Linked DNA regions of Lepisosteus oculatus. The protein of the gene in region 1 purifies or fractionates together with the protein of each later gene. This does not show direct contact. Links are inferred from orthologs where the notes say so. Each region holds a gene or a part of one and is shown in the gene's direction. Other genes may lie near its edges.

What was found. The genes of interacting proteins can lie anywhere in the genome.
Region 2: the proteins of fus (region 1) and khdrbs1b purify together in Homo sapiens (affinity purification with mass spectrometry; 3 studies listed by BioGRID and IntAct, with this or other methods). This does not show direct contact. The link is inferred for Lepisosteus oculatus from reciprocal best matches to the Homo sapiens genes FUS and KHDRBS1.
Region 3: the proteins of fus (region 1) and ddx39b purify together in Homo sapiens (affinity purification with mass spectrometry; 3 studies listed by BioGRID and IntAct, with this or other methods). This does not show direct contact. The link is inferred for Lepisosteus oculatus from reciprocal best matches to the Homo sapiens genes FUS and DDX39B.

The regions. Positions count from the first base shown.
Region 1 is NC_090699.1:5,217,314-5,224,983, reverse strand, and holds the start of fus (RNA-binding protein FUS), read left to right. Parts: upstream 1-4,609; 5' UTR 4,610-4,710; coding exon 4,711-4,723; intron 4,724-7,359; coding exon 7,360-7,384; intron 7,385-7,670. Other genes in the region: vkorc1 (vitamin K epoxide reductase complex subunit 1), read left to right, coding at 942-1,051, 1,407-1,618. UniProt on the Homo sapiens protein: DNA/RNA-binding protein that plays a role in various cellular processes such as transcription regulation, RNA splicing, RNA transport, DNA repair and damage response. Binds to ssRNA containing the consensus sequence 5'-AGGUAA-3'.
Region 2 is NC_090706.1:3,047,074-3,054,720, forward strand, and holds the start of khdrbs1b (KH domain-containing, RNA-binding, signal transduction-associated protein 1), read left to right. Parts: upstream 1-4,610; 5' UTR 4,611-4,952; coding exon 4,953-5,046; intron 5,047-7,647. UniProt on the Homo sapiens protein: Recruited and tyrosine phosphorylated by several receptor systems, for example the T-cell, leptin and insulin receptors. Once phosphorylated, functions as an adapter protein in signal transduction cascades by binding to SH2 and SH3 domain-containing proteins.
Region 3 is NC_090709.1:41,005,686-41,013,741, forward strand, and holds the start of ddx39b (DEAD (Asp-Glu-Ala-Asp) box polypeptide 39B), read left to right. Parts: upstream 1-5,019; 5' UTR 5,020-5,123; intron 5,124-6,349; 5' UTR 6,350-6,357; coding exon 6,358-6,574; intron 6,575-7,083; coding exon 7,084-7,211; intron 7,212-8,056. Other genes in the region: polr1h (DNA-directed RNA polymerase I subunit RPA12), read right to left, coding at 1,512-1,621, 2,416-2,519, 3,558-3,698, 4,451-4,619. UniProt on the Homo sapiens protein: Involved in nuclear export of spliced and unspliced mRNA. Component of the TREX complex which is thought to couple mRNA transcription, processing and nuclear export, and specifically associates with spliced mRNA and not with unspliced pre-mRNA.

The DNA.
Region 1 (7,670 bases):
CTTTTCCACAGACCCCCTTAAGGGCCACATGTGCATCCTCCCGGCTTCTGCCTCCTTGTTCCTTCCTCGCTCCCGCTGTAGTGATTTCGACATGTGGCCCTCTCCCTGCTCGTGCTCGGTGTTGTCCCAGCGGTCGCCTGTAGCTCAGGGCCCAATGGTTCTGACTGGAGCCTCTGGAGTTCAAATCAGAGTTTCCTGTGTCGCTTTATTAACATTTTGAATTGAAGTAAGAGACAAGATGTGAAAAGGGTTAACTTCTGCCTGAAAATTAGACTTGTAAGCAACAGGGGTTTATGGCAGGAAAGGGGGTTAACTGATAAGGATTCCAGATGCGAGCAAGGAACCCCCTGGGGGCATAATCTTAAACTGACCATTTGGCCAGGGTCTCTTAACTGGCCAAATACCATGACCCCCCTTACCATAACATCGAATAACATCTGAAGCAGCAAGCAAGGACTATATAACCTAAAAGTTTGTACCGGCACATCGAACAATACTTCGGTTTTGTTGTTTCTTGCGGGAAACAAGACTTCGGCTTTATTGTTCCTTGCATGCAATAAACTCATCTGTTTTACTTCATCTCGGGATCCAGAACCTTATTCTTTCTGTTACAACAGAATCATGTATGCATTTCGATTTTTATGCGTGTGTCAAGCGGGACTGGGGATTGGGCGGGGGGGTCCCCCTCAAAGCACAGGGCCCTGGGCGGCCACATACCCCCCCCCACCCCGAGCCGGCCCTGGCTGTGAGGCAGAAATATTAACCACTATGTAACCGTGCCCACCTGAAAAACTGCGCCTAACTCTAGTTCCAGATATAGATCTGGACTCTCGGACAGACCGCTCCCCAGACGCGTGCCGCGGGAGAGGTGGCCAGTCCGTGCCCGTGCCGGTCTGACGACGGGCGGGGGGCAGTGAGGTGCACTTCCCGATGTCTTCCAGGTGGGGGCGCGGCTTCGGCCTGGTTGAGCTGGTGGTGGGGGTCGACAGCCTGGCGAATCAGCCCAACAGTGTCTTCGGGGTCATCTTCTACGTGCTGCAGCTGGTCCTGGGTACGAGACTCCCCCCGTCCCTGTCTGTGTGTGTCTCAGTCTGCTCGTGTGAGCTCTCTCTCTCTCTGCTCTGTGACGGTGTGTGAACCCCACGTCCTCCATCTCTCTCTCTCTCTCAATTCAATTCAATTCCAGGTGCTTTATTAGCATGACTGATGGGTACAATCAGTGTTGCCAAAGCAAATAAAACTAATAAAATTAACATGGAACAAAACAAAAAATAGAAGTAAAATAAAACCTACAGACATGTTACAGACATTTACAACTCTCTCTCTCTCTCTCTCTCTCTCTCTCTCTCTCTCTGTAATTGAGTGTATCAGTGTGCTGCAATAGTAGTCTTCCTCTGTGTCTGCAGGTCAGTCGCTGTCCAGCAGGGCGGCGCTGTTGCTGGTGCTGACCTCCTGGCTGTCTGTGGCTGGCTCCCTCTACCTGGCCTGTATCCTGGTGTTCGTGCTGTGGGATTTCTGCATGGTGTGTGTCAGCACCTACCTGCTCAACTTCACCCTGATGTACGTCAACCTGCGCAGACAGAGAGCACTGAGAGCTGACAAGGCCAAACGGAGCTGAGAGAGAGGAGCTGTACATGAACACTCACACTGACACACACACCATACTGACACATTTACACACTCACACACTGACTGAGACACCCATACTGACACACTCACACTGACACATTCACACACTGAGACACACACACTGACTGACACCCATACTGACACACTCACACACACACTGATTTACACACATACACACTCACACACACTGACTGACACACTCAAACACTGAGACACACACACTGACTGACACACACACACAGACTGACACTCACGAAAGAACATGGGAACACAGGACGAGTCACAAACGCAGGAGTCATCCAGCCTGTTTGTTAGTTAAGAGCTAATTAATCCCAGAATCTTTCCGAGTTGTGTCTGGGTATCAGCTGCAACAACCCAGCTGGGCAGCTTTTTCCACTCTCCCACCACCCTCTATGTACAGAAGTGCCTCCTGTCCTGACTGGAGCATCTCTTCCAGCTGTACCTTGAGAGAACCCGGGGTATCAGCTGCAACAACCCAGCTGGGCAGCCTGTTCCACACCCCCACCCCTCTCTGTGTAAAGAAGTGCCTCCTGCTCTCAATTCTAAATGCTGCTTCCTATAGTTTCCTTTCGTGTGCTCTGTTTTATATGCCACTGCTTATTCTCAAAACCTGTTACATTCAGCCACGAGCTCCCACAGATCGGAGACCTGTTCAACAGGTGGCTGATCGATAACTGTGACTGGGGAGTGTTACAGGATACCATCAGTGTTACTTTTTTTTTTATTCTGGCAAAACCCCAAATAAATCTTCTTCAAGTACCTTTGATGTGCCTCTCTGCTGATTTTCGTTCTGAAAGAAGGATTTTACTCTGCGCAGTGAGACAGAGGAGGGAAATCTAAATCACACACACACACTCCCGTCTCCCGTTGGGGGTTCTGTGAAAGTGGGGGGTCTCCACTATTCTCTGGTCTGCGTGCTGTCTGCTCAGAGGCACACGGACCGCGTTCTGAGCGATGGACTGCGGGGCGAAAACACTGGTGGGGTTTTACAACTTCTCCTGACAAAAGAGGGGGTGATCAAGGAAATTGGAAGAGCTCGGGCGCAGAGCGTCTCAGTTCTCTAACTCTGTAGTTCTCAGTCCTGATCCGGGAGAAACACTGTCTCCTGGTCTTCACTCCAGCCTGGGCTCTTAATGACTTTATCTCAGACGATCTCAGTCCTGATCCAGGAGGAACACTGTGTCTCCTGGTCTTCGCTCCAGCCTGGGCTCTTAATGACTTTATCTCAGAGGATCTCAGTCCTGATCCAGGAGGAACACTGTGTCTCCTGGTCTTCACTCCAGCATTCCTTAAGTTATGTGCAGACGAGTTGGCCACAGTTTTTATGGATATTTTTAATCTTTTACTTTTAAAGTCCCCTGTTCCAGTGTGTTTTAAGAAAAAAAAACCACCATTGTACGTGTGTTGAATAAATATATTGCAACTTTGAATGATTACAGACCGGTAGCGCTCACATCTACCAAAATGAAATGCTTTGAAAGGCTGGTGATGAGCCACATTGACATCATGATACCGGAGTGCTTAGACCCCCTGCAGTTTGCACGCCTGTGTAACAGGTCCACTGATGATGCTATTTCCCTGGCTCCTCACACTGCCCTGGCTCATTTGGAAAACAAAGGCACACGTCAGACTGCTACTCATTGATTACAGCTCCGCCTTTAACACTATCGTTCCATCCAGACTGGTCACCAAGCTTAATGATCTGAGTATCAGCTCTGTTGTCTGATCCGGGTGTCTCTCTGCAGCTGGAGTCTGGATTCCTGACTGGCAGACCACAGACTGTGAGGGACGATGGAAAGCTATCTTCCCCGCTGACCGCTGATATAGGTGTCCCTCAGGGGTGCTTGGTCCCCTGCTGCTCTCCTTGTTTACCCACGACTGTGAGGGCCAGACGCAGCTCCAGGGCGGACACACAATTTCAACCCCGGTTGGCCCAGCTGTGAGTGTGTGTGTCTGTTACTCGCGCGTGTGAGTAGGTGAACCACCACCAGGAAAGAGCACAGAGAGGTGACCCACACGGAGGCAGTGAGAACATGCAGACTCCACCCTGACAGCGCCCCAGGGATTGAACCCGGCACCCCCAGCACTGCGCCCCTGTGCCGCCTGACTTTCATTCAATGGTTTCCAGTCCCGATCCTAGAGGACCACTAATTGAATTCAGTTCCCTATTTGGGGAATATTGTTAGGTTTCCCATCAGCTCCTGAAAGGATTTGGGATTGGGTGTCAATGCTGTACCAGTTGGAGATGAAAAACGACCCTCATTCAGACAAAGACGCGGTTCCAGCCCTTAAATATTTACACATCGCATATGACAATATTCACACATTACATTTTCACCGCTTTCTTTTCTTAGGTGATGTATGTATCAGAAACCGGGTCAGATGAGGATAACTGGGGTGAGATATTTAATAGAATGAGGATGCAGTGTAATCCTGTTCTGTTGCAGTGCAGAGAGACGAAGAGTTTACAGCCGCGGTGCCCTGTTACAACACACCTCCAACCCAGAGCCGATACGAAGCATCGCAAAACCCCATGTTAATCTCTTAATGAGAGGCGGATTAAGGGAGACCGGCGCTATTGTACAAAAACGTGAGGGGGTTTCTGGCACCCTCTGCTTCGTTTCAGTAAATGTATAAAAAGAGACAAACTTTAAAAAAAAGTGAATTGTTGTTCTCAGACGGGAATACGAACAGCAGGGACATCTTTTTTTCTGGTGACGGGAGGGGGGGGGACTGTTCGATTCGGGTAGTTTCCCAACTGCACCGCCTCCTCCCCCCAGGCATTCAAGGCAAGTGGTCTCGTCCAGCCGCAGGTTTTAAAAGTCTCCGCGCGGCGGCCCGGTGACGCAGTTTGTCCTCAGTGTCGAGCTGCGGAGCTGTGTCGTCTTCGGCGCCTTCGAAGTTTCTTTTTATTTCTTTCTCTTCTTCCCTCCCCCGCACCCCCCACCCCATCGGCTTTCTTTATTTCCCGTATTTATTTTCTTCGGAAGCAGTTTGTGCGTTTGAGGGAAGAAAAGCGCGGGCGAAAGAGTCGCGGAGCACAAAGACAACCCGACCACCATGGCGTCCAACGGTAAGAAAATAAAAACACAAATTTCTTACTTTTTTTTCTTTAGAAAATACCATCGTTTTATTTGTTTTTTAAAAAGTGGCCTTCGCCGCCTGCTGTGCGAACTCGTGGCCGTTAACCCGCCTGCGGGAAAGAGGCGGTTAGCCTGTGGGTCTAATTCATTTCAAACCTCCGCTGTCCGCGCCGGAGTGAAACAAGCGGCTTCTCCGGTTCTCTGCTGTGTGTAAGTGAAAAGTCTCGACGTCTGAATTTGAAGACGCTGCCGGGGTCGTGGCTCCGGGGAGAGAAACGCGTAAAAATCACACAGTTCGGGGTTTGAACGTGTGGGTTTCTCCTCGCGTCAGGGGCTCCGCTCGCCCCGGCCTCCCGGCTCTGTGTCGTTCTGGTTGTGCGCTTTTTTTGTTGTTGCTGAAATCGGGTCCGTTTCCGGCCGGCTGGCTGGGCTGGCGGCGGCGGCTGTTTTCCCTCCCGAGAGAAGGGGGAGAGGCGAGACAAAAGCGGGGCTGTCGCCTCTCCGCGGCCGCCGCCATCTTGCCTCCCCCTTTTGTGCGCGAGCTGGCGCGGGGTGTCGCGCCCTCTGGTGCGCCTCGCGCCCCCGGGAACGAAGTGTCCGGGCCGCCGAGGTGTGATTTTGGGGGGCCCCGGGGTTGAGGGAGCCCCCCGGATTTGCTGTGGGGGAGCAGGTGTGTGTGTGTGTAGGGGAGTGGGGGCGGGGCGGAACCGGCCATGCCGCGCGGAGCGGCGCCTCCATCCGGGTCATCCCGCTCAAGATGGAGCCGCCGACTTCCGCTTCCGGCCGGTGTGGAGATCGGGAGAGGGGCGGGAGCTGATCGCCGCGCTGCTGCCCCGGCTTCTCAGGCCGCTCGTTACCCCCCCGGTGACGACACGAATTCATTGGCGTTGTGTAAGGAAGAAAAATGGAGGAGTTCCGAATTAAATCACGAATTTAAATGAATTAAATTTAATTAAATCAATTAAATCGAGAGTTCGTGTGAATTGCGCTGGAGAGGCGGCGGCCCTTCCTGCTCACTAGCCACCTCGATGACGAGGGTGATGGAAGAGCAAATCAGCACAGGCTTGCGCAGCAGACGATTCACTACTGGGATGTTCCAAAGTGATCCTTGTGCAGCGTTAACAAGTAGTATTTGTCGCCAAAACCATCTCAAAGTCGAGAGCGATATTGCAGTAATATCCAGTCAACGATGTTTCTGTTGGCTTAAAATGGGCGTTTACCAGCACGCGTGTTTACAATGTAATTAGGCTGCTTCACGTCGTTGGGTGCCCCCCCCTCACTCGTTCTAAATCACAGACTTGGAAATGGTCTATTTTGTGATATAATTGCAGGTTTTACACGTTGTGCCTTTTACTTTTAACGTGGTTTGAAATGTACTCATTGCGAATTCTTTCTAACCCCAAAATAAAAAAAGTTGCAGTTCTGCTTTAATACGTATGCTGAAAAGCAGCTGCAAGTGAGAATAGTTTAATCAGCACATCTAGTCTGTTTGGTCGTGTGTGCTCATCTGAGTGAATTGTGCATCACCCAGCTGTGTCAAGAGGGGAGTCAGCGTATTGGTCTCAACAACAGGGCTGGGCAGCTTGTTCCCCTCTCCCACCACCCTCTCTGTACAGAAGAGCCTCCTATCCAGGCTGGAGTTGATCACCCAGTTGTGTCAAGAGGGGAGTCAGAGTATCGGTCTCAACAACAGGGCTGGGCAGCTTGTTCCCCTCTCCCATCATGCCTTTTCAAAATTGATCATGCAGCACCCCTACACTGCCGAGCAACCGGGGGTATAGTCACTGAACTCCATTCAGACCACCTGGGTTCAAGCGCAGTACAACTAAGTTCTCTTATATTCCTGCAGCCATTGACCTGCTTCGTGTGCTCGATGGATTGTATTTTATTTTTCATGACTGTCCCCCCCCTTCACAAACGTACGGTTTGCTGCTACGAATCATGCGAATTGTCACGCGCGTTTTGAGTGGCAAAGGCCACTTTCAAAGCTACGAAGACGTGATGCAAAGAAACATTTCGAAACCTCAGGCAGGTCGGGGGAGGGAGGAGGCAGGCGACTGGTTTGGTATCGGGTGCTGGCACCGTCGGGCTCCACTGCCGGGTCTGGCGTGGGTGGGAGTGAGGACACTGCGGCTTCGCCTGCTCGCTCCTGTGTGCTCCTGCTTCCCCCGGGCCCTGGAGGGGCGAGGAAAGGGCCACTGTGTGTCGCTACTCACAAAGCAAGTGAAGTGGTCATTCTGAGGTCTAACGAGATAAGCAGTGGATTTCATCAGATAAAAAGTAAACCACAAAAAAAGTTTGTCCTTGGTGTTTCTTGTCATTTTTGGTGAAAATGGTTGAAGGGGGACTTTCTTGGGGGTCTGGAACAGCTTGTTTTTCTTTGTAAGAGATGTTGGAATGGGTTTTTCTTTGTATGAGTTGTCACTTTGCAAAAAGGTTTCTGGGAACGAATTACGTTCGTGAAAAGAGGTCCAGGTCTCTTTTTTTCCTCATCATACTCGCACGTCTGGGTGACTGCTTCATGCTGTGAATTTTGTCCTTCATCTGCCTGTAAAACGCGTTTCGCACCTGGCACAGTGCAAGTGTCGCCAAGTGACTGACCCCCCGTTTCTCTTTGTTTTTCCAGATTACTCCCAGACTGCGCCCCAGGGGTGAGTGACTCTGTGTTTCTACTGTAACTGTGCCAGCCTGCAGCTGATTAACGTGTTTTATACAGTGACTTAAAAAATGATTTATCCAAGTTTTACAATAAGAGGAATGGAGCTAAAAGGAAGAACAGCCAGGGTTAAGAATGTAGTGGATCATGGGTCGGCAATTCGTTTTTTTTGCAGACCCCAGCTTGTTCTCCGTGAGACACGGGCTCACAGACAGGGAGAGAAGCTGGGGGTCAGAGCGCAGGGTCAGCCGTTTATACAGCGCCCCTGGAGCAGCTCTGGG
Region 2 (7,647 bases), on another chromosome or scaffold:
ACAAGCTGCCAAGATGCACCACAGTTTTGAAAGATAACCAGCAGCTTTACCACCCATGTAAAAACCAGAGTTAACACCAGTAGCCTGACCTCTTCGGGTTTCTATGGTCCAGCAAGGCTGGATCTGACCAGTAAGGGGATGGGAGGTCCCCAAGGATTAACCAGATTGCTGGAGCTTTTAATTAGTGCAGAAGAACCAGTAGGTGGCACCCTTTCCTCTGGACCAGAATTTACAAACCAGAATGTTCCAGTATAGTGTACAGTATGTGTTAACTGTGCAGTGGGAAGTGTCAGCTTTGAGAAGATACTTTGCATGTCTTCTTGCCCATTAAAGATCCCATGACCATTCCTAAGAGCACAGGTGTTAACACCAGCAAATATCTTGTCATCTTAAAAAGTCTCACTTTTATTTCATATGATCTTACATAATTGAACACCTAGGATTTGCATTAGCACTTTACCAAATTCCATGCTAATATTTTTCCTAAACCGAATGTTTCAGCATAGATAAAAAATGATTATGACTGCTTTTCCTGATCTGCAGTAGTTCTGTGTGTCGAGACAGTGTCAGACTTCCTTCGCACAAGCGGTGTTCCCAACACAAACCACACAGAACAAAAAGAATTGATAACAAATGAAGACAGTGAATAGGGAGGATTAGACAAGGATAGGGTTACTTCTGCCTGAATCAGATTCTCATTTTGGTCAAAGAATTTTCACTCATCTCTTAGAGACGTCTGCATTTCCATCGCATGACGCGCGAACTCAATCCGTTGTTTTAAAGCGCTGAATTGAATTAGGTCCCCGTGGAGAGGATTAGATCAAATCCCCTTGCCCGTGCCTCGGGGGGGGGGGGTTGAGATGATGTAAATTCTGTTCATCACAATGCTTTAGTACCTTAAAAGCTGAAAAGTTATACAGCCCAAGTCACGGTGCAAACAATGTTTTCAGCACAGCAATGTTTCTTATAGCTTTCGCCTTGCTATCTGGCCGACAAAAACCCTGTTTATCGCACAGTGAAAACGCTCATTACTTTTGGTCTGTGGCTGACGTGTCCGCCCAAGTGACTTGCATTAGTCCCCACCTCTACAGCTAATAATTCTACTGGCACAATCTCAGTGAAGAATCTTGCTGCTGCCCCTGTCGATAAACTACTGACCAAATTGATGATTTGTATTTAAATCTGACTTGTTTAGTCCCTCTTACATTTCCACACTCTCATCATTCAGATAAACCCTCCTTACGAGCAGCAATGTTGCCTGGAAGAGCCAGCTTGTCAACATTTTGCTTCAGTCTGCACATCCTTCTCAAGGATGAATGGAGCAAGTTGAATGCCTGACCTATGATAAATAATACATTAACTCTCGTCTCTTGATACTTTTGCAAAGCTCTTCTGTTTCTGTACTTTCACCTCCAACATCATGGGCTGCCAATGTGTGCTTCAGGTTAAGAAGCCAGGTAATCAATCAGTTTGATTAAGCTTGCAAAGTATGTAGTTTTCATTTTTGCCTGATCTTGCAAAACTCATGAATGGGGTGAATATGAATGGGGAGAGGAGCTGGGCAGAATTAGAAACTCTAGCAATTTACAGAGGAGTTGTTAACTCCTGCCTCTGGGGCCTTACAAGAGCAAACAAAAGTGAACAATGGGCATGGCTCTTTTGTGTAGGCAGCAGTCATCACACTCGTTCAGGCTTGCTCTTGGAAGTCTCAGAGGCTTCCAAGACGTTTGCGAAGGTGTTCGCACTTGCAAGACAGCAGAAGTCACACCAGTCAGCCCAATTAACAATGAGGGACTGTAGACAGCCTCACACCTGCTCTACTAGAGAATAGGTGTGCTGTATGGTTTGTGACAAAGCAAAGGAAACATTCAGTAACGTGAATGAAAGAAGTTCTGACATTTTAGTACTATGGAATATATGTCAGAAAATAAAGTCACTTTGTGGTATTTTACACTGTACTAACATGAAGGGGGTTCTCTTTTATAGTTATAGCCTGGAGAAATAAAACAAAATTAGAGACCAATTCAGATGTTCAGTATTCAGGGGCTGGGTATGTCTCCAGTGGTCATGTCTGGCACTGCAATAATGAGTCTAGTTATTGGACTATGATCCATTTGCTTTCCCATATCAGAAGATCAGTTGTGCTCTTTATCTTGTCTGTTTTGTTCCTGATTGCACAGAATCTGTTGTCCAACTGCATAGGTTAACAGAGGATGTCCATTGTGAGCCAGTGTTGCTTTATGCTACAGTAAAGATGAAACAAAAAAGAGGTATATGTTTTTTTTTTCAATTGTAATTACAAATGAGATTAATGAAACATTAAAATAATCATTTGTCACTTACCATCATACATCACTTATGTGCTTAGGGGGGTAAGATATAAAATCAACCAAAAGAAACACCGCTAATAGCCAATGGTTGCATATCTTCAATATTTTAATGAACTATATTTGTTTTACTGAAACTCTGCCTGGGTCGTGTGCATTGCAGCCATGTTTTGCAGAAAACAAGTCTCCTTGGCATTTAAGGCATCTCTGTTTTGGGTGGTGGCAGACTGGGTGGACTACAATGGGCTTGTTTAATTTCAGAAACAAGGCGTTAGACAAAAACAGGACAGAACTGGGACCGGGTGGGACTGGTTTCTAAACTTAAACTGCCAGTCTGACAGTTTAAAATGATAGTCTCACACAACCCATCCCTTCAAGGAAAATATACCGCTACCACAACACTGGGTATTTTGTGGTGAAGGAATAAAAAATTGTACTCGGGAAGTCTGGGCTGGAGGAGGCTGAAAGAGTTAATTTTGGGGGGATTGGTCTGGCGCATAAACAAGACGCCAGCCTGAAAGGTTTTGATTTAGGTTTTTGTTTCTCCCATTCCCTTATGTGAATTTTTAATTCTCTGTGTGAGAGGGAGCCCAGACTCCCGCTTAGTGTTATTAGTATTTTATTGACAAAACACTTGTTCTCTTAAGCTCTGGGAACATTGTCTTGATATACACCATGTTTTCATTTGCATTTCAGCAGATTGACAGGGGGACTTATCATGGGCCCATAATTCCAAACTGCACCTAGGATATTGTAAGAAAATAAAAACCAGATTAAATGCATTAGACACATTTAGCCAAAGGTAAACAAAGTGCTTTTTCTAGCACAACTGACATTCCTGTAGGAACTATATAACTATATATTTTCAGTTCAGAGAAGTGGAGTTCCGATGTGTTACATTTTATATACATCAGTTCCTCACAGATATCGGTCATCCGTCCATCTTTATTATTATAAAGAGTTATTATCGGACCACGTAGGCCTATACAGGGCCAAGGTGAGCTGGAGACAGAGGCCAGAGGGAGAGCATGCAGAATGTGCTCTATGTTGTACTCGAACACCAGACCAGAGAGCTTTGGAGACTGGAGAGAGCACTGCCATGCTCCCCCGCATAAATAATTTTAGGAAATTTTAATAATTAGTTTTAATAATAATATTTCCTTGCATCCGCACGAGTGCCTTTCACCCCAAGGGTGCTTTCCCTACAGGAGGGGCCCCACATCGTCCAGTACTGAAGTGCGCCCCCACCAGGGTGACGCGCAGCAGCCCACAGATCAGTGGGAGGGGAGGGGTGAGAATTTGCTTCCCCAGTTGAAGTAAGGAGGGAACTCTGGGGAGGTCAGATCGTACAAGCACACTAACAGCGCCATGGCAATTTTAAACGACCAAGCAGTCAGGATCGCGATCTAACATTTAATCCGTAGAACGGCACCTCCTACAGAGTAGCAAATTGTCTCTTATCGCCATACTGGGGCACCGGGTTATAAATTCTGGCCCAGAGGGAAGAGTGCCACCTACTGGTCCACCAACACCGCTTACAACAGCACTGATCAGGCCCACCCCAGCATCATCCATCTCCTGATACACAGGTCGGAGGTTCACGATTTGCGGGCGATCAACGAACGCCTCGCACACACTTCACAGTATTTTCCTATAGAGAGTAAAAAAGCTCCACCTTCCGGACACACAGTGTAAAGCATTCCGAAAAATGAATAAAGAACAATTAAACCCATTGTCCATAAAAGTTAACCCATGTTTGCCGGAGCTGAGAAAATCAGTGATGAGACGATGTAGTAAAGCAATGCTCCACCGTGCTGTTTAACCGACTGAACCACACGGCATAGTATTTCTTTTTAGACATTTCTGTGGTCAAATAGGAGATCCTAGAAATATCCCTCAGAGTTAAAAAAAAGAAAACAAATCTGCAGGTTTGTTTGGCAACATTTTATCGACGAAGTTGTTAACCTGTAATGCCTTCGTGTTCCCCTTTGTTACTATCAGAGCAGAAACGACAGAAGCACACCACCCAGATTTCGGAAAAAGTACTTTAATGTCGTTAAAAATAAAAAAAAATCGACACATGTCGCGTTACCTCGGTTTTACGTAAATGTACAGAGAGGGGCACGGCGTGATCTCCAACCAACAGTGAGGGGGGAAAAAAAAACCCCAACCACAACACATTTTTATCGACGCCAAATTCATTTAAGAACAGCGGGCCGGCTGCGCCTTTAAAAATTACAGCGGTCGGAGGTTGTTGTTTTTTTTTCAAAGGGGGAGGGAGAGCCCGACCATTTTGAATGAATTTAGTGAGCTCACTTCCTCTCGGCTTGCTATTTTCCCCCTCGGTCGCAGGATTTTTTGTGTGTGTGTGTTCTCAATCGCTTTCCATTCGTAGGGAGCTAAGAAGGAGAGAAAGAGAGGGAGGGAGCCATTACGAGGTTGCTAACCGACACGACCGGGAGGCTCGGCACACACTTGGGCCCGATCTCAGCCAGACCTGCAGAAGATTACGAGGCCGCTAGGAGCTTTTCCCCCCCGCTGCTGCAAACGCATTTTTTAATCCTATTTTTATTCCTCCTCCTCCTCCCCAAGACTGTAAACGCAGCAGACACAATAGTAAACAAAATGGAGAACGAAAGCAAATATCTCCCCGAGTTGCTGGCGGAGAAGGACAGTCTGGATTCCTCCTTCACTCACGCCATGAAACTGGTGTCCACAGGTAAATCGAGCCGCTCTGGAAACTTTTCGTTGTTGTTGGTGGTTTTTGTGTGTGTGTGTTAAGGAATAAACGGGGCGCCGAGCTGCCAAAAGCCGACGAGAAGGGGGGCTTTTCTTCTTCTCCTGCTGCTGCTTGTGACGGTGAAAATGAAAAGCGTAAATGTTTCTGAAGTTGGCGGGGGGAAGAGCGCACGTCGTGGGGAAGAGTGTCTGTGAGACAAAGGGTTTCGCTCACCCCTCTCGCACACGGCCGGGTACTTGTTGGGTTTTTAATTAAAAAAAACGACACAACGTTTTTTTTTTAATGGTGTTTAACATAGTCGGGCGGCGTTGGTGTTCTTTGATTCTCGCTTTTAAATTTTAATTTAAAGCCGGTAACCCGATCGGGTCGGCATTCGTCTCGGGTGTCTGCCGGCGGCGTGGTGACGACGAGCCCCGGGCCGGCCGGCCGGCCGAGCAGCTCCCCGGTGAAGCCGCCGCCGTAAAATGTAAAAAAAACAATAAAAACGAGTCGTTTTTGACTCGTTTCTCGGGGGGGTGAAAGGCGAGGAGAGGAGAGCGTGTTTTCCCACGGCGTGGCTTTGTGGAGTGTGAACAGGGCACTGTCGGGGAGGGAGGGGGGCATCAAGTTGCAGGAAAGGATGGCGCCCTGCCTGCGCTCCTCGGGTATTGAAAGTGTGCGTCTCGGTGCCGACGGTCCCTGCATCTCGGTCCCTTTTGTTTTCCGATCTTGATGCGGTTTTATTTTTCTTCTTCTTCTTCTTCTTCTTGTGTGTGCGTTTCTCTCTCGCCACGCCTGTCCGCCGGTTAAATTGCAATTCACGAAAAGTTGGGATGCTGCTTTTGTATTTATGGGAAGTTTTAGCTGTGGGGGGATGAATGTGCGTTTCTGCAGGGGGGGTACAACCGCCCCCCCCCCACCCCCGAGTACTTATTTTTCATCAGCAGAAGAAAGATATTTTAGAAGCGACCTCGGGTTTTTTTTTTATGAGTTGAGCTGCAAATCGGGACGTAGGTTTTTAAACTGTAGCGCAGCTTTAAGCACGATCTGCATATGATGAGCGAATTGATAAATGGCGAAGCTCCCCTTTCTTTAAAAAGAAAAAGTTACAGAATGGGGAAAAACGGATTTTTCCATTGCCGGACCGCCTTGATTGCAGAAGCGTTAATTGTTCCCTTTGTGGAGAGATGAAATCAAGCTTTAGCTGTCGTGCCGTTTACACGATTGAGCGTGTTTTGCATGTACGGAACCGGCGCATTTCAGTCGCTGGGCTCTGGGTTTACCTCAAATGCTTTTTTTTTTTTGGTCGACGGGTTTTAAGGAGTTTATCAACCCCGTGCCGAGACCTCGCACGGTAAATATTTCTCATGACACGTTTGGAAACTTCAGAAAGAAATGTTATCAGCCTCGGGATTTAGGGTCCAACGATATGTTCTTTTACAGCCTAATTCCAGGTGGCATCTTTCCTAACGGGGAAGATGGTTCCCCGATGCCTTATTTCTGGATATTTGTTTGTGTGTGTGTGTAACCGCAGCACCCTCAGTGTTTCAAATAAATGACTTTAAAACGACCGAGCCTCACTTGGCCTCGGTGGGGAGAAACCACACAGTCAGTCTCTCGGAGGAAGAGGCGCTTTAGATAACGGTGCTTCAAAAAAAAAAAAGCTCTTTTCAGGTCCCTCTGTCGGGGTGCGAGGCTCTCTGCAGGGGTAACTTCATTCCTTGGCACGTTTCGAGTTTAGTCTTCTGCCAACATCTCAGCTCGGGACTATTCGCTTGCCCGCTGTTATATTTTGATCCCCGCCACCGTCAAGTCCTCTGTTAGTTTTTTTTTTAAGTGGATGGCGAGACCCCCGGTGGGCATGGATGTCTTCAGGGTGGGGGGGTGACAGTCCAGAGGGTTGAAAAAGACTGAAATAGTTTTTTTTTTCGCTCCAAGCTGGGGGGGGTGGGGGTGGAGGAAAACCGTTAACGTGGCAAAATTATATTTTGGAACAGGACGCGATCAGACGTTGCTCTTGTTGGGAAGGAGGTTGAGAATAGCCCAGTCCATCGCCAGACGGGAGATGTTAAGCGAGTTGGGGGGGTCTCTCACGCCCGCTTGCCCGCTCCTTGAAACCAGCATTGAGCCTCTCGTCAAATGCCCATCCACGTTTTTTTGTTCTTTTTTTTTAAAAAAAAGAAACAACTTTCAGGGTCTGAAGACGTGGAATACTATTTTCTGGTTCTTTGGCAGTGGAAACTTGAATGTTTTCCAGCTTTTTAAACGGTGTGCCTGTTTCATATTAAGACGAACATAGTTTCTGCAATAAAAGTGTCACAAGTGGTTGTAAATGCTCGTTTCCCCGTGCTTGCCTGTGAGCTCCTGCAGTTGCTGGTTTGTGTTGAGCACTGTGAAATTTTTACACCCCCCTTTCAATTCTCACTTCGTCCGCCACTGCTGGTGGCTTGAAATAAGATTATTGAAATGTCTGGTTGCATCGGCGTGTTAATTGGACCAGCGGCACGATGGCTTAAACGTTTCAGTCTTGTTCTGTTGGCGATGCCGCGGCTGACATAGTCTTGCATCTAGCTTGGCTTCTGCCTCCGCTGTCTGGAAATA
Region 3 (8,056 bases), on another chromosome or scaffold:
CTGAAACACACAGCAGTGTGTAAGACTGTGAGACCGGACACAGGGGCAGTGTCTGTGTGAGAGGAGCCGGGGTATCAGCTGGGCAGCTTGTTCCCCACCCCCACCCCCCTCTGTGTACAGAAGAGCCCCCCTGACCTGACTGGAGGAGCTCACCCAGCTGTGTCTGGAGAGAAGCCAGGGTATCGGCTTCAACCACAGGGCTGGGTAGCTTGTTCCCCACCCCCGCCACCCTCTGTGTACAGAAGAGCCTCCTGTCCTGACTGGAGGAGCTCACCCAGCTGTATCTGGAGAGGAGCCAGGGTATCGGCTTCAACCACACGGACTGGGCGGCTTGTTCCCCACCCCCACCCCCCTCTGTGTACAGGAGAGCCTCCTGTCCTGTCCTCAACCGATTGACTGACTGACTCGATAGACTAATCGAGTCACTGATCGACTCGATAGACCGGTCGAGTCACTGATCGACTCGATAGACCGGTCGGGTGACTGATCGACTCGATAGACCGGTCGGGTGACTGATCGACGTGATAGACCGATCGAGTCACTGATCGACTTGATAGACCGGTCGAGTCACTGATCGACTCGATAGACCGGTCGGGTGACTGATCGACTCGATAGACCGGTCGGGTGACTGATCGACTCGATAGACCGGTCGGGTGACTGATCGACTCGATAGACCGGTCGGGTGACTGATCGACGTGATAGACCGATCGAGTCACTGATCGACTCGATAGACCGGTCGAGTCACTGATCGACTCGATAGACCGGTCGGGTGACTGATCGACTCGATAGACCGGTCGGGTGACTGATCGACGTGATAGACCGATCGAGTCACTGATCGACTTGATAGACCGGTCGGGTGACTGATCGACTCGATAGACCGGTCGGGTGACTGATCGACTCGATAGACCGGTCGGGTGACTGATCGACTCGATAGACTGGTCGGGTGACTGATCGACGTGATAGACCGGTCGGGTGACTGATCGACTCGATAGACCGGTCGGGTGACTGATCGACGTGATAGACCGATCGAGTCACTGATCGACTTGATAGACCGGTCGGGTGACTGATCGACTCGATAGACCGGTCGGGTGACTGATCGACTCGATAGACTGGTCGGGTGACTGATCGACTCGATAGACTGGTCGGGTGACTGATCGACTTGATAGACTGATCGGGTGACTGATCGACTGGATAGACTGATCGGGTGACTGATCGACTCGATAGACTGGTCGAGTCACTGATCGACGTGATAGACTGATCGAGTCACTGATCGACTTGATAGACCGGTCGGGTGACTGATCGACGTGATAGACTGGTCGGGTGACTGATCGACTCGATAGACTGATCGAGTCACTGATCGACTCGATAGACCGGTCGGGTGACTGATCGACTCGATAGACCGGTCGGGTGACTGATCGACTCGATAGACCGGTCGGGTGACTGATCGACTCGATAGACTGGTCGGGTGACTGATCGACTCGATAGACTGGTCGGGTGACTGATCGACTTGCCGGCAGTGGGTGCAGGTGTAGAAGACGGTCTGTCCCTCGTCGGCGGACCTCATCTGTCGGGTGTGGTAGACCATCCCCTCCCGGCCACAGCGAGAGCACCTGCGGTCAATCTGGGGGCAGAGACACGGGTCAGGGGTCATAGGTCAGGGGTCACCCCCCCCCCACCGTCAGTGTGCGGACCTGGATTCAGCAGGGCCAGGGGGGTCAAGGCAGCCTATCAGGGCCCAGCGTGTCAGTCCATCTTGGTCCATTCAGAACCCAGAAGAACTGCAGACAGGGACCAGTGACCCCAGGACAGAGGTCAGGGACCAGTGACCCCAGGACACAAGTCAGGGACCAGTGACCCCAGGACACAAGTCAGGGACCAGTGACCCCATCACAGAGGTCAGGGGCCAGTGACCCCATCACAGAGGTCAGGGGCCAGTGACCCCAGGACAGAGATCAGGGACCAGCGACCCCATCACAGAGATCAGGGACCAGTGACCCCATCACAGAGGTCAGGGGCCAGTGACCCCATCACAGAGATCAGGGATCAGTGACCCCAGGACACAGGTCAAGGATCAGTGACCCCATCACAGAGATCAGGGATCAGTGACCCCAGGACACAGGTCAAGGATCAGTGACCCCATCACAGAGATCAGGGATCAGTGACCCCAGGACACAGGTCAAGGATCAGTGACCCCAGGACAGAGATCAGGGACCAGTGACCCCATCACAGAGGTCAGGGATCAGCCACACCAGGACACAGGTCAGGGGCCAGTGACCAGTGACCCCAGGTCAGAGATCAGGGATCAGTGACCCCAGGACACAGGTCAAGGATCAGCCACACCAGGACACAGGTCAGGGGCCAGTGACCATTGACCCCAGGTCAGAGGTCAGGGACCAGCGACCCCAGGACACTCACCACAGGGCCCTTCAGCTCTCCCTCCTCCTCGGACATCATGGCGGTGCTGCTGGACTCCAGGCTGTTGAAGACGACCGACGAGGTGACCACCTGGTCAGCGAGCTCTGCAGCACAGAGGGGGAGAGAGGGCACTCCTGAGGGACTGAGCCCTGCACACTCCTGGGGCAAATCCCCTCTCACACAGGTGGAGCAGGGGTCAGTGTGCCTGGTCCAGTCAGTCCAGGGGTCTGTGTCCCTGGTCCAGTCAGTCCAGGGGACAGTGTCCCTGGTCCAGTCAGTCCAGGGGTCTGTGACTCTGGTCCAGTCAGTCCAGGGGTCTGTGTCCCTGGTCCAGTCGGTCCAGGGGTCTGTGTCCTCTGGTCCAGTCTGTCCAGGGGTCTGTGTCCCTGGTCCAGTCAGTCCAGGGGACAGTGTCCCTGGTCCAGTCAGTCCAGGGGTCTGTGACTCTGGTCCAGTCAGTCCAGGGGTCAGTGTCCCCGGTCCAGTCAGTCCAGGGGTCAGTCGGTCCAGGGGTCTGTGTCCCTGGTCCAGTCGGTCCAGGGGTCTGTAACTCTGGTCCAGTCAGTCCAGGGGTCTGTGTCCCCGGTCCAGTCAGTCCAGGGGCCTGTGACCTCTGGTCCAGTCAGTCCAGGGGTCTGTGACTCTGGTCCAGTCAGTCCGGGGGTCTGTGACCTCTGGTCCAGTCAGTCCGGGGGTCTGTGACCTCTGGTCCAGTCAGTCCAGGGGTCTGTGACCTCTGGTCCAGTCAGTCCAGGGGTCTGTGTCTCTGGTCCAGTCAGTCCAGGGGTCTGTGTCCCCGGTCCAGTCAGTCCGGGGGTCTGTGTCCCCGGTCCAGTCAGTCCGGGGGTCTGTGACTCTGGTCCAGTCAGTCCGGGGGTCTGTGACCTCTGGTCCAGTCAGTCCAGGGGTCTGTGTCTCTGGTCCAGTCAGTCCAGGGGTCAGTGTCCCCAGTCCAGTCAGTCCAGGGGGTCTGTGACCTCTGGTCCAGTCAGTCCAGGGGTCTGTGACTCTGGTCCAGTCAGTCCAGGGGTCTGGTAAGGTTAGTTGGTGCCAAACAGCGCCACCCACAGGGAAACGCAATCCATCAATCAATCAATCGATCAATCAATCAATCAATCAATCAATTGCTCTGAGCCACTGACCGCTCACGCCGATGTCGTAGCCGCAGCGCCGGCAGCTCACCACGTCCTCCACGCCGGGGACGGGCAGCACGGTGCCGCACTCCGGGCAGAACAGCGGGTCGCCGTGGAAACAGGAGCCGGGCAGGGCGTCTGCTGACATTGCTGCGGAGGGGAACCGATCAATTCGGGGCGACCGGCGCGCACCGCCACGACCCCGTTCTCGAAACCCAGACTAAATTCCACTATCAGAGAACAACCTGGCCTCTTTAAAATTTACAACCAGACTGTGGTCACTGAGCCTGTCCTCTCTGGACAGCTGGGTTTGCCTGTGTCCAGTGTGTGTGTCCAGGCTGTGGTCACTCTGAGCCTGTCCTCTCTGGACAGCCAGGTCTGCCTGTGTCCAGTGTGTGTGTCCAGGCTGTGGTCACTCTGAGCCTGTCCTCTCTGGACAGCCAGGTCTGTCTGTGTCCAGTGTCTGTGTCCAGGCTGTGGTCACTCTGAGCCTGTCCTCTCTGAACAGCCGGGTCTGCCTGTGTCCAGTGTCTGTATCCAGGCTGTGGGCACTGAGCCTGTCCTCTCTGGACAGCCAGGTCTGCCTGTATCCAGTGTCTGTGTCCAGGCTGTGGTCACTCTGAGCCTGTCCTCTCTGAACAGCCAGGTCTGCCTGTGTCCAGTGTGTGTATCCAGGCTGTGGTCACTGAGCCTGTCCTCTCTGGACAGCCAGGTCTGCCTGTGACCAGTGTCTGTGTCCAGGCTGTGGTCACTGATCCTGTAGGTCGTCAGACCCGGTCTCTTACTCGCTATTTGTAGGCGCCGTTCCAACTTGGTCTTTAAGAACAACCATCCGCCGAGTTAAGAGTCCTTGTAACCGTCCCAGATAACGCCTATTCCGCATTATATCAGGGGGTCCCTACCGTGATCGGAGGTCAGTCGCGGGTAGCTGTCGCCCTCACCTCGCTGTTGCGCCGAGACACGTGTCGTCCGCAGAACACAAACACAGTCGAGAGCTCTTCCTGGCTGCGGACTGCTGGGGCGCATGACGTCAGCCCGGCAACGGAAGTGACGTTCAATGCGCGCCGGCATTTAAAAAACACTTTTTGTCTTTGTTTTGTTATTCTATAGTGTCCGTATCTAAGTGCTTTTTATAGTAATACGAACTATATAAGAACATTTATGCATGAATCTATTAATAGTCTGGGTAGAAATCAGAAACAAAATTATCTGAGGCTTCTCCCTCCGTCAATGTTTTTGTATGGTGAAAGCGAAACATTATTTCCATTAAAAACCCGGAAAAACACACCTCACGTCTGTAAAGATGTTCACTGATTGTGTGCTAGGTTATAATCACCTCTGGCCGCGTGCCGTTCTGTGTCTGTGCGTTTTTATTTGTGAACACCCTTTCTGTTTTGTTTGGAAAAAAAAAAACAAATAAAAGGTTGTGAGGGGAAAAAGACGGGAGTCCTGCGCGTAGTGCATCATGGGAAAACGGGAGGGAGGGGGACGGTGGGTCGCGGCGCCGGCGCACCCGAGTGACGTCACCAAACGCCCCGAAGTCGTTGCTGCGAGAGACGGAGAAACCATTCGAAGGTAAACGCGTTTTATTTCACGGTTAAAAACCACCACCCGCCCCCTCCTCTCAACGCGCCGTTTGCGGGTTTTTTTCTCCTCATAAACCGCTTTCTTCCGCCTCTTCTCCGTGCTGGTCGGCGTGACTCCTCTCTCGAAGGGAATTTTTGTTTTTCGCGTGAGGGCGGTTTGCTGGGTGGCGCGACTGGGCCCGTCTTTTTGAAAGAACAAAAAAAAAAACCCGCACTGGGCCATTGTAGTTTTACACACACACACACAAAAAAAACCTCGAACAGACGGGAAAAAATCGGATTTCCTAACGCCCCTACACCCACTCGGGGTGCCCGCGGTCCGGTCCGGTCCGGTCCGGAGACACGGCTTGAGCCCGTCCCGTGAGCTTTCGCGTGTCCGTGGGAGTGGGAGTTGGGGGGGTGATCCCCCGTGTAGCCCCGATCTCGCTCACGTCCGGCGCGGTTTTACATCCGCTAGTTTAAAAAAAAAAAACACGGATCTGGAAATTGTCAGTCGTGCTGCTCGATCGGTCGAAAGGGACCGACGGGCTGGTTGTTGTCGGAGCCCGTTTGTCCCGGGACAAGATGTCCCCTCCACAGCACGGTGAGGTTGGCGGTACTATTGTACAGATCTTCGTGCGTGTGTGACCGCAAAAACACCGCCTTCAGTGGGACTGCTGGATTCAGAGACTGCAGGTCCTGAACGAGTGCGGATCCACGTCTGCATTTAAAAGATCATATGTTCTCGTCTAAATGAGTAACAGGGTGGCGAGACACTCTGTTAAGGTTCCTTGTTCCGCCACGCACAGCTGTGAACACTCCTGTGTGAAAAATGGCAGTCTGTTCCTGTGGGGATCACTAACCAGACGTGTTTAGGGAACTGCTGTGTCCAGTCAGTGTGTCTGTGTGAACCCCTCTCTCTCTCAGTGCAGTGTTCATGTACTGGAGTGTCCAGTCAGTGTGTCTGTATGAACCCCTCTCTCTCTCAGTGCAGTGTTCATGTACTGGAGTGTCCAGTCAGTGTGTCTGTATGAACCCCTCTCTCTCTCAGTGCAGTGTTCATGTACTGGAGTGTCCAGTCAGTGTGTGTGTATGAACCCCTCTCTCTCTCAGTGCAGTGTTCATGTCCTGGAGTGTCCAGTCAGTGTGTCTGTATGAACCCCTCTCTCTCTCAGTGCAGTGTTAGTGTACTGGAGTGTCCAGTCAGGGTGTATTAGCCCCTCTCTCTCCCTCTAGGTAATACCATGGCTGAGAACGATGTTGATAACGAGCTCCTGGACTATGAGGATGACGAGGTGGAGGCAGGTGGAGGTGGGGGAGACGGGGCTGACCTGCTCCCCGTCAAGAAGGAGGTGAAGGGCTCCTACGTGTCCATCCACAGCTCGGGCTTTCGGGACTTCCTGCTGAAACCGGAGCTCCTGAGGGCCATCGTGGACTGCGGGTTCGAGCACCCGTCTGAAGGTAAGACAGGGACACAGAGACACAGCCACTCTCACAGAGACACCCTCACACAGACACACCCTATCTCACATACACTCTCACAGAGACACGGCCACTCTCACAGAGACACGGCCACTGTCACTGTCAGGGCTCAGTGTGGTGTCCAGACAGCAGTGTCCAGATATCAGGGCTCAGTGTGGTGTCCAGACAGCAGTGTCCAGATATCAGGGCTCAGTGTGGTGTCCAGACAGCAGTGTCCAGATATCAGGGCTCAGTGTGGTGTCCAGATATCAGGGCTCAGTGTGGTGTCCAGACAGCAGTGTCCAGATATCAGGGCTCAGCACGGTGTCCAGATATCAGGGCTCAGCACACTGTCCAGACAGCGGGTCCCAGCGCCGTGTCCAGACAGCGGGTCCCAGGGCCGTGTCCAGACAGCAGTGTCCAGCGCAGTGTCTATGCTGTGCTCTGTTCCATTAGCGAGTCTGTATTTCTGTCTTCCTGACTCCCCCCTCTCCCTGTCCCCCCCCTAGTTCAGCACGAGTGCATCCCGCAGGCCATCCTGGGAATGGACGTGCTGTGCCAGGCCAAGTCCGGGATGGGGAAGACGGCCGTGTTCGTGCTGGCCACCCTGCAGCAGCTGGAGCCCGTCACCGGGCAGGTACCGGATCCGCCTCTCCAGTCCAGTCCAGTCCAGTCCAGTCCAGTCCAGTCCAGTCCCGAGATCCCTGGGTCCCCCTCTCGGGTCCATTCCACCTGCCTCTCTGCCCAGACAACAGCCCTCTCCTGCGTATCAGCCACCGCCGCCTCCGCTTCCTGGTTTTCCACTGTCACCTGACCAGTGGCCCGCCTCCCAATTGGTCAGGTGGCGGAGGGTGGCTGCCCCCACCATCCCCCCCAGTGCTTTCTGGGAGATGTAGTTTCTGGCAAAGTCTTAACCTTGATTCCTTCTCACGATGTTTGCCTCTGTCCGTTTATCTCTCTCAATCTCTGGAGCGTGTCACTCTGTTAAAAGTCTCTGTGTCTGTTGTCTGTCTGTGGACAGGAGCTGTTAAAGTCTCTGTGTGTGTGGTCTGTCTGTGGACAGGAGCTGTTAAAGTCTCTGTGTGTGTGGTCTGTCTGTGGACAGGAGCTGTTAAAGTCTCTGTGTGTGTTGTCTGTCTGTGGACAGGAGCTGTTAAAGTCTCTGTGTGTGTGGTCTGTCTGTGGACAGGAGCTGTTAAAGTCTCTTGTGTGTTGTCTGTCTGTGGACAGGAACTGTTAATCTCTCTGTGTGTGTTGTCTGTCTGTGGACAGCAGCTGTTAAAGTCTCTGTGTGTGTTGTCTGTCTGTGGACAGGAGCTGTTAAAGTCTCTGTGTGTGTTGTCTGTCTGTGTCTCTGGAATTTGTGATGGGTCTGATACTGCAATAAGTATATTCCCCTCTGTCTCTCTCTGTAGCTTTTGACTGGACATGGGCGATACCCTCTCCACTCCTCTGTCTGTCTCTTCCTGTCCAGCCCGTACT